2 linked regions of the Macaca mulatta genome follow. The protein of the gene in region 2 purifies or fractionates together with the protein of the main gene of each other region. This does not show direct contact. Links are inferred from orthologs where the notes say so. Each region holds a gene or a part of one and is shown on either strand. Other genes may lie near its edges. The genes, in order: RAB7A and PDHA1.

Region 1 (3,809 bases), on a different chromosome or scaffold from region 2:
CCTCAAAAAAAAAAAAAAAAAAAGAATGTGGCAAGAGGAAACTTGCCTTATCAGGCAGTGAAATCAAGACAGTCCAGATAAGGGAACATGGCATAGACATCACCAGTACAGACTGGAGAGACCAGAAACAGATCCCAGCACATATGAGCATTTAGCACAGGCCACGGTCTATTCAGGGAGGGAAACGGCTTATGTAACATAGCCGAATGATTTCAAACAACTGGCTGAGCTCTCTGAGAGAAAAGGCAAGTCTCTCTTTCCTGCCATAAGCCAAAACAAATTCCAGCTGAATTAGAGAAAAATCTGATGTAGACACAGGAAACACAGAAACTTAAAATGACATACCCAAATAAAAAATTACTTTTTTCCTATGTTCAAAGGACTTAAAAATACCACAGAGTTGAAAAAGTCACTTGAGATGCAAGTAGAATTAACTTCAATTGACTAGCAGCTCATGAGAACTGAGAGAGGCCCAACCATGTGCTATGTGCTAGCTGTGTGCAGCAGAGAAAATCCAAATGGCTAAGCCCCAGGAAGAGGGACTCAGAGGGAACAGTAGCCACGATGGTGGCAATTTATACACCCAAAGATTGGCAATGTCAGCAGAGTGACAAGTGACACCTATTGCTTGCTGGCAAGGAGGTAGAACAAAGCAAGCCCACGCTGCTGAAATGTTATTCCCCTTGGGGAAAGCAACCTGGCACCCTAACTTATAATAAAACAGACCCTCCAATGTAACAATCTAACTCCTTAGGGGCTAGCTCTAAAAATAAAAGCATAAAGACAACAGGGACAGTAGTGATGGAAGAGAAAAACTCAGACGGTGATGCCAGGCAACAGGGAAACAGGTGGGAAACACTATCCTACACGATTTGGATTTCCATTCCCTTATATGAACATTAAGAAAAACACAACCGTTTATTATTTGTGGGTGAGGGTGGCCAAGTCTGCATCTTGGTCTTTTCCTTACCACTTGAGGGCTCTCCTGGCATTCTGGGTGGAACAATTTCCTCACTGAGTAGGTCTGTCCCTTTCATTCTGGAACACTTAGTGCAGACCCCACTCATGCCAGAATTTCCCTGGTCCTTGGAGCAACCATTCCAAACAACTCTCTGTCCTGCTGAAAGCCATTACCTTCATTCTGCCGGCTTCCTGGAGTCAGCAGAATCTGCCTTGCCCTTCACAGCCACTATGTGCTTCAAGTGCTCTATGCATCCCCCCAAACCTGTCACACCTCTGACCACCCCCAGACCCTGTCTGATGAGGCCTCGTGATCTGCCTTAATCACCACTGCCCCTAACAGAGTTGTACATCAAAACAGACTTTCGGCCGGGCACGGTGGCTCAAGCCTGTAATCCCAGCACTTTGGGAGGCCGAGACGGGCGGATCATGAGGTCAGGAGATCGAGACCATCCTGGCTAATACGGTGAAACCCCGTCTCTACTAAAAAATACAAAAAACTAGCCGGGCGAAGTGGCGGGTGCCTGTAGTCCCAGCTACTCGGGAGGCTGAGGCAGGAGAATGGCGTGAACCCGAGAGGAGGAGCTTGCAGTGAGCTGAGATCCGGCCACTGCACTCCAGCCTGGGTGACAGAGCAAGACTCCGTCTCAAACAAAACAAAACAAAACAAAACAAAACAAAACAAAACAAAAAAAAAAGACTTTCAACTCGCATGAGTGGTTGTATCTAATCACAGAAACAGTAAGTAAGAAATTCTAGGTATTGTATTCCTTGAATAGTTTTCCTACATTTTCTTCCTTGTTTACTTAACTGTTCCTAAGGAAAAAAGTTACCTGTCAGTATGTGAGAGCTGAAAAAGTTGGTCTCATTTAATCTTCATAATCACCCTGCAAAAGCAGGTATTCCCATTTTTCAGGTGAGGGGGTAGAAGTTCGGATATAATTTTATTTTTAATTTTTTTTTTTGAGAAAGAGTCTCACTCTGTCACCCAGGCTGGAGTACAGTGGTGCAATCTTGGCTCACTGCAACCTCTGCCGCCTGGGTTCAAGCAATTCTCCTGCCTCAGCCTCCTGAGTAGCTGGGATTACTGGCAACCCCCACCAGGCCTGGCTAATTTTCTTTTTATTTTTTAGTGGAGATGGGGTTTCACCATGTTGGCCAGGCTGGTCTCAAACTCCTGACCTCAAGTGATCGGCCCGCCTTGGCCTCCCAAACTGCTAGGATTATAGACGTGAGCCACCATGCCTGGCCATAATATATATATTTTTAAGCCCAAACTAGATATAATGATTGGTAGGCAGCAGAGCTGGGATTTGTATTCAAGTTAAGTTCCTTCTTAAATAGAGCAGCAATCTGATCAGGGGTCTCCCAGTGACCTGATCTCCTAATCGCAGCCAAGAAAATAAGAACAAGCCTAGTAAAAGAAGGGCAGTCTCAGTCTTCCCAGCCTCTACATCTTTTAGGTTATTTCCCCAAAGTGGGGTTTCTGGAAGCTTAAGCAGAGCATGTCCTAACCTTCCCAGATGAACACTTAGGGTATTCTGACTACATAGAAAAGAGTGGGTTAGGGAAGAAGATTAAGGGCAGGAGGTCAGGCAGGGACTGGGTCAGTGGTCAGGCATCACAAGAGTGGGCAGGTCAGCTGTGGGAGACCCACCTGCTTAAGTGCATTCCGTGCAATCGTCTGGAACGCCTGCTCCACGTTGATGGCCTCCTTGGCACTGGTCTCAAAGTAGGGAATGTTGTTTTTGCTGTAGCACCAGGCCTGTGCCCGCTTTGTGGCCACCTGAAAGGAGAAGTAGGGTGCACACAGGCTCATGATAGAAGCAGCTAGCACTGACTCCATCCTCCCCAGGAAGTGTCATGGTCCCTCGTCTACAGGTGGTACAGGTGAGGACACAGATGTGGGGAAAGAGGGTGTTGGAAGAGACCAGTAGACCCGTCCAAACTCGCCCTGCTGGCTATGCTCAGGATAGCTAGGATTCAGCTAGAGAGCTCAAAGCCTGTCTCAGTCTACAGCTCATACCTTCTGACCCTCAGTTATACTTAAAAGCCATTTGTGAATGGAGTAAGAAGCCAGTCTGGGAAGAAATGAAGAGTGTTTACTGGGACCTCAGAGATCCCAGGACAGGAAATGCCCAGCAGCTTGGTCTTAAGGTTTAGAGTCCCTTTACCATTACTGCTAGTGTGATGTCACCCATGCCACTCTCACATTCTCATTCCTTCCCCAACCCCTAGCCCATTTTCAGCCAAGAGATAAGGACTAAGTCACTTAGGAAGGGGAGGAAAAAAGATCCATGGTCAGAAATAAACGTAGTCGTAATTAATCAAAGAGTCTATGTTTCCAACAGAAATGATATTTGAAACTATAACTATAGTACAGCAATTTCACTCAAAGCCCAAAGCAATATTCTGCACACATGGAGATCCAAGCACGGCCTGGAGGTACTGGGAGGGCACTACTGAGAATGACAAAACTGAATTCCCTCCTTCAAAGTGCAGAAAGGGAACTGAAGTTGAGATAGCCAAGACAATGGCGTAAAGTCACAGCCAGCTGGGAGCAGGATGGGGACTTAACCCAGGTCACCTGGGTCCCAGTCCTTAAAGGCAGTTGGCCTGAAGGGCTGGCATAGGGTGATGAAGACTCCCACCAGCACCTCCTAGAGCCATGTGAGCTTAGCAGAGAACCCTCCAAATTCACAAGGCCCCTTGGGAGCAAGTGTCTGTGACAATATCTATCATCGTTGGTACTTACTTGTCTGTTTTCGAGGTCAATCTTGTTTCCCAACACAACAAAGGGGAAGTTTTCAGGATCTCGGGGACTGGCCTGGATGAGAAACTCATCTCTC
Region 2 (4,589 bases):
GCAATTCTGTCTTCTTCCATGAAATAAGAACTATGAAAACTATAGACCTTATTCAAAAATGAAAACACAATCTTGAAATTCATTTCAAAGTTTCACAACACACACTCTTTGATAAGACAATGGCAATCTTTAAACCTGAGATGAATCTCCCCACCTGCCTGGTTTTAAGAGAGTGAGAGCAATCCCAGCACTTTGGGAGGCCCAGGTGGGAGGACTGCTTGAGCCTGGAGATGGAGACCAGACTGGGCAACATAGCGAAACCATGCCTCTACTAAAAAAATTTATTTTTTTTAAATTGGCTGGGTGTGATGGTGGCGCACGCCTATGTTCCCAGCTACTCAGGAGGCTAAGGTAGGAGGATCGCTCGAGCCCGGCAGGCTGAGGCTACAGTGAGCTGTCATCATGCTACTGCACTCCAGCCTGGGTGACAAAGAGACTCTATCTCAAACAAAACAAAAATACCAGGGAGAATAAAAAATGAAAAAGGAAAAAACGCACAGCATCTTGGGAGGTTAAGGGGATTAACTTGTGTCACAGCCATCAGACCAGCTGCCTAAACTTATCCCTCCCTTCATGGAGTATCACACAGATGGTAGGAATCTAGTTCAGTAAGTCTGCCTAATTTGGGTGAGCCACTGCTTATTGTTTACTGTCAGGATTTTTGTGAAAGGCTTATATACAAAATGTCTTTTTACATGTATAATATAAAAAATTAAAACCTTGATCTATCTTCTTATAGTTAAGTAAAAAGACATCCATAAGTATGAAGAATTACAAAAAACAGTCAACACGTTAATTATTCCACCCTTTAAAAAGATAAAGGTGAAACTTTTAGTTCTACCCTTAAAAGCTTCAGGAATTGTTCCTAATTAGTCCACGACAAGTTGAGTGACACAGAAAACTTCCTAATTATCTGAAGAGTTTACACCACTAAGTGGAAAGATACCTGGGCACTTTCTAAGGTGACTTCATATCTGGAATTCAATTTTCTTCCTACTGTAAGGTGGGGGCGGGGGGAGACCCTGCAAACTGATAGAGGAAACGATAAACCTGACTTGCAGAAGAAATAATAAACCTACATCGGGGTGCCTAAAGGAAGGATGTTTCTAAGCCCATAACTACCGGTACAGCCCTCTACCCACAGATATCCCCAAAGGGAATGACTTTTTTTTTTTTTTAAACACGGAGTCTTGCTCTTGTCGCCCAGGCTGTAGCGTAATGGCACTCACTGCAAACTCCACCTCCCGAGCTCAGGCTATTCTCCTGCCTCAGCCTCCAGAGGAGCTGGGATTACAGGAACCCGCCACCATGCCCAGCTAATTGTGTATTTTTAGTAGAGATGGGGTTTCACCACATTGGCCAGGCTGATCTCCAACTTCTGACCTCAGGTGATCCACCCGCCTCAGCCTCCCAAAGTGCTGGGATTACAGGCTTGAGCCACCGCACCCGGCAGTTCTGTCATTATTTTAGGCAACAGGATTCCTAGAGGGGCATACCTCTTACCTTTTGACAATCTCTGCCTGTACTTAGAGCCGTATCAAGTCCTGGGGGAATTACCAGAATCCCGAGGCCTGCAGTTACACCAATGAACACGACCTCACTGTGCCTAGGGGTCAGAATGCTAGAAGCTTAGGTGTTAGGCACCTCTAAATGCTGAGGCCATGAAATAGTGCTGGACTCTACCCCCCGCCCCTCAAGCATCGTTGCTGTTTGCTTTAGCTACTTGTACCCCAAGAATGTGTAGGTAAGGGGAGGGGAGGGCAGCGTCCTCTGAGTTCTGCTTCCGCACTCCTGAACTCACTGCCAAGAAAAGCTCAGATGTTGAAGGAGAGGGAAGGGGAGGAAGTTTGTTTCTGAAGAGGCTGACCCTCTGTGAACCCGCCTCAGAACTGAGCACAGGTGTTCAAGAAATGTATACCGAACGGGACACTCAATAAATAACACTATTCAACACACATGCTATCGATTATGTGCCGGGTGCTATTTGGAATCGTATCCACACGTGTCACTCGTTGAATCCTCAAGACAACCCCAAAACAACTCTAAAACTCCATTTTAGAGTTAACTGATAACATTTTAATAACCGATAACATTTCAGAGATAACTCTTATCTCCATTCAGAGATTAACTCCACTTAGCGCAAACATTTCAGGAAACCGGGTCCCCGGGAAGTTTAAAAACTTGCTCAAGGTCACAGGGTTAGTCAATGGTGAGGGTGCTGTTTGAACGGAGCCACTCCGTCTCCAGATTCTACGCTATTACAAAGCCTCTCGGTCAAGAGAAATTAAGTTAGGAAGATCTGAAATGAGTAGGGTCAATCGGAGACTCGAAGGAGGCCGAGGCCACCCTTTCCGAGTCCTGTAAACCAACAGGCACCTCTTGAGCACACTGACTTCGCCCGGCGCACAGCTGGGCCCGGCGGCGGCAGCGGGGTGTAGAGAAGGGGGAAGTCCACAGGGACCTTGGCAGGATCCCGGTCCGCGTCGCTTCTGCTGAGGCCAGGAACGGAAAGCAGGGCGTGGGGGCGAAGTAAAGGCTCCCCGGCTCCCCTAGCTCCTTCTACCCAGCTCTGGGTGGCCCGGCCCGGCCCGCCCTCCAGCCCCGCTCGCGCCCCACCCCGGCCGCCCAGGAGGTCTCACCGGCTTCTGAGAAGCGCCAGACAACACGCGGGAGACGGCGGCGAGCATCTTCCTCATGAAGCACAGGCACTGGCGGCAGCGAAGACTCCTCACAACCCAAGAGGCACGACGAGGGTGTCCCAAAGTCTCCTTCAGGTGCCCCAGCAGACGCCACGCCTCAGTCGCAGCGCGACGTGACAGAGTCATAATAACGTCATGCACTGCGCCGGGCCACAGGCCAACCAGAACGGCGTCCAGGGGGTGCTCCGCCCCCGCTAAAGGCCTGCGGCTGCCCATTGGGTATCAGCGCCAGAGAGGGAGGGGCTGAGCGCTCTTTCCGACGCCACGCGGCGGGCGGGTGAGGAGGCGGGACCTGAGAGCGCCTGCGTGGGAAGCTGGGGTCCCGCCTCCAGGGCGCCGCGGGAAAGGCGCCTTCCTAGATTTCGCACTGCAGCGCCCGGTACTATCGAGCGCCTAGTCCTGCCGGTGCTGCAGCTCTGCAGCCCTCGCTCAGTACACGAGATGATGAAGATTAGCAGCATGCTCAGAGCCAAAAGACAGAACACCTGGTTTCTGTAAATGGTCTGCCACTAACTTGTCTTTAAAAGATCACGTAGCAGTTGGAAAATTCTGCCCTGTCTACTTGAACGCGGATCAAAAAATTTGTTTCCCAATATATGTCGAGAGGTCAATGGGAAAAATCTTTTTTCTCTAGTTATTGGTTCACTGCGAGTTAACAGCGTGGCTCGGCCAATGATGAAAGCACACACAGAGACAAACACCAAAGCAACAAGAGGCTCTATTCAGAGGATCAAAGGGCACAGGAACCCATTCTGTTGTGCCCTAGTGGGATTGCACCTGGGGTTCACATTTGGGCTCCACATTTTAAGGGGGATAATGACTAAGCTGAGTGGAATCCAGGGGACAGTGGTCAGAATGGTGAGGGGCTGAGATTGTGACTTATGAAGAACGATTAAAGAAGTTAGGAAGAAAACAGGCTAACTAGAATTGGCTAGGTTATGATGTGGTAACAACTGACCTCCAAATTTCAGTCACTTGAGGAATTTGAAGTGGCACGAGCCATCGTGCTCATAACACAGGTCCTTCGCAGCGTGGCACCCTCTCTGTGGAACTTAGCTTGTCTCATGGATGAAGGCAAAAGGGATCATTTAAACCGGCTCTCAAAGCTTCTGTCCAGAAGTGACACATGTCACTTCCTCTCAATTTTCACAGACCAGAGCTAGTTACCCGACCATGTCTGGGTTCCACAAGGTGAAATATAATCCTGCCAGGAGGAGAACAGAAAACTGAATGAACAATAAAACCAGAGAGGATTGGATATGTCTTCACACATTTTCAGGCCAGTCATGTTACAGGAGGAAGAGCTATTGTGTGTGTGTGTGTGTGTGTGTGTGTGTGTGTGAATAAAATCCTTTCATTTCAGCATAACAATGAATTTTCTAACAATGACAATGGTCCAATGAGATAATTCTCCCCCAGTGTCACTGAAAGTATTCAAAGCAGAAGTTCAAAGCATGACCAGCTCTCGGCATAGCTAGAGAAAGAATTTGGGCACTGGGTCAGACCCTGGACTGAGAGATCGTGTTGAGTCCTTCCAACTTGATGACCATGTTGTAGTGGAAGAAAACTTCTTAAAAGAGTCAGAGGGTGCCATTAAAAGGCAGAGATGGACGTGAGAAACTTGCATGGTATGATTTCAGCAGCTGCTGCTGCTGATAGAATATGAAAGGTAAAAGAGAATGAAAAGGTTGGAGGCCAGATGTCCAGCTCAGGAGAAAAAGCTGGTCTGAATGGTTTGGGACATGTTGACCTTGTGGTGGCGGTGGCACAGCTATCTGAAGATGTCTCCCGGGAGGTTGGAGTTGTAAGTCTGGAACATATGCTAAAAATATTAATTTGGGAGTCATCTCCATGGGGTGGTGATATTGGTTGTGCATGTCCGGGAACTCT

Evidence for each region.
Region 1: the proteins of PDHA1 (region 2) and RAB7A fractionate together in Homo sapiens (co-fractionation; 3 studies listed by BioGRID, with this or other methods). This does not show direct contact. The link is inferred for Macaca mulatta from reciprocal best matches to the Homo sapiens genes PDHA1 and RAB7A.

What each region holds. Positions count from the first base shown.
Region 1 is NC_133407.1:155,147,416-155,151,224, forward strand, and holds part of RAB7A (ras-related protein Rab-7a), read right to left. Parts: coding exon 3,716-3,809; intron 2,747-3,715; coding exon 2,618-2,746; intron 1-2,617.
Region 2 is NC_133426.1:19,079,099-19,083,687, reverse strand, and holds the start of PDHA1 (pyruvate dehydrogenase E1 component subunit alpha, somatic form, mitochondrial), read right to left. Parts: upstream 2,806-4,589; 5' UTR 2,697-2,805; coding exon 2,640-2,696; intron 1-2,639. UniProt on the Homo sapiens protein: The pyruvate dehydrogenase complex catalyzes the overall conversion of pyruvate to acetyl-CoA and CO(2), and thereby links the glycolytic pathway to the tricarboxylic cycle.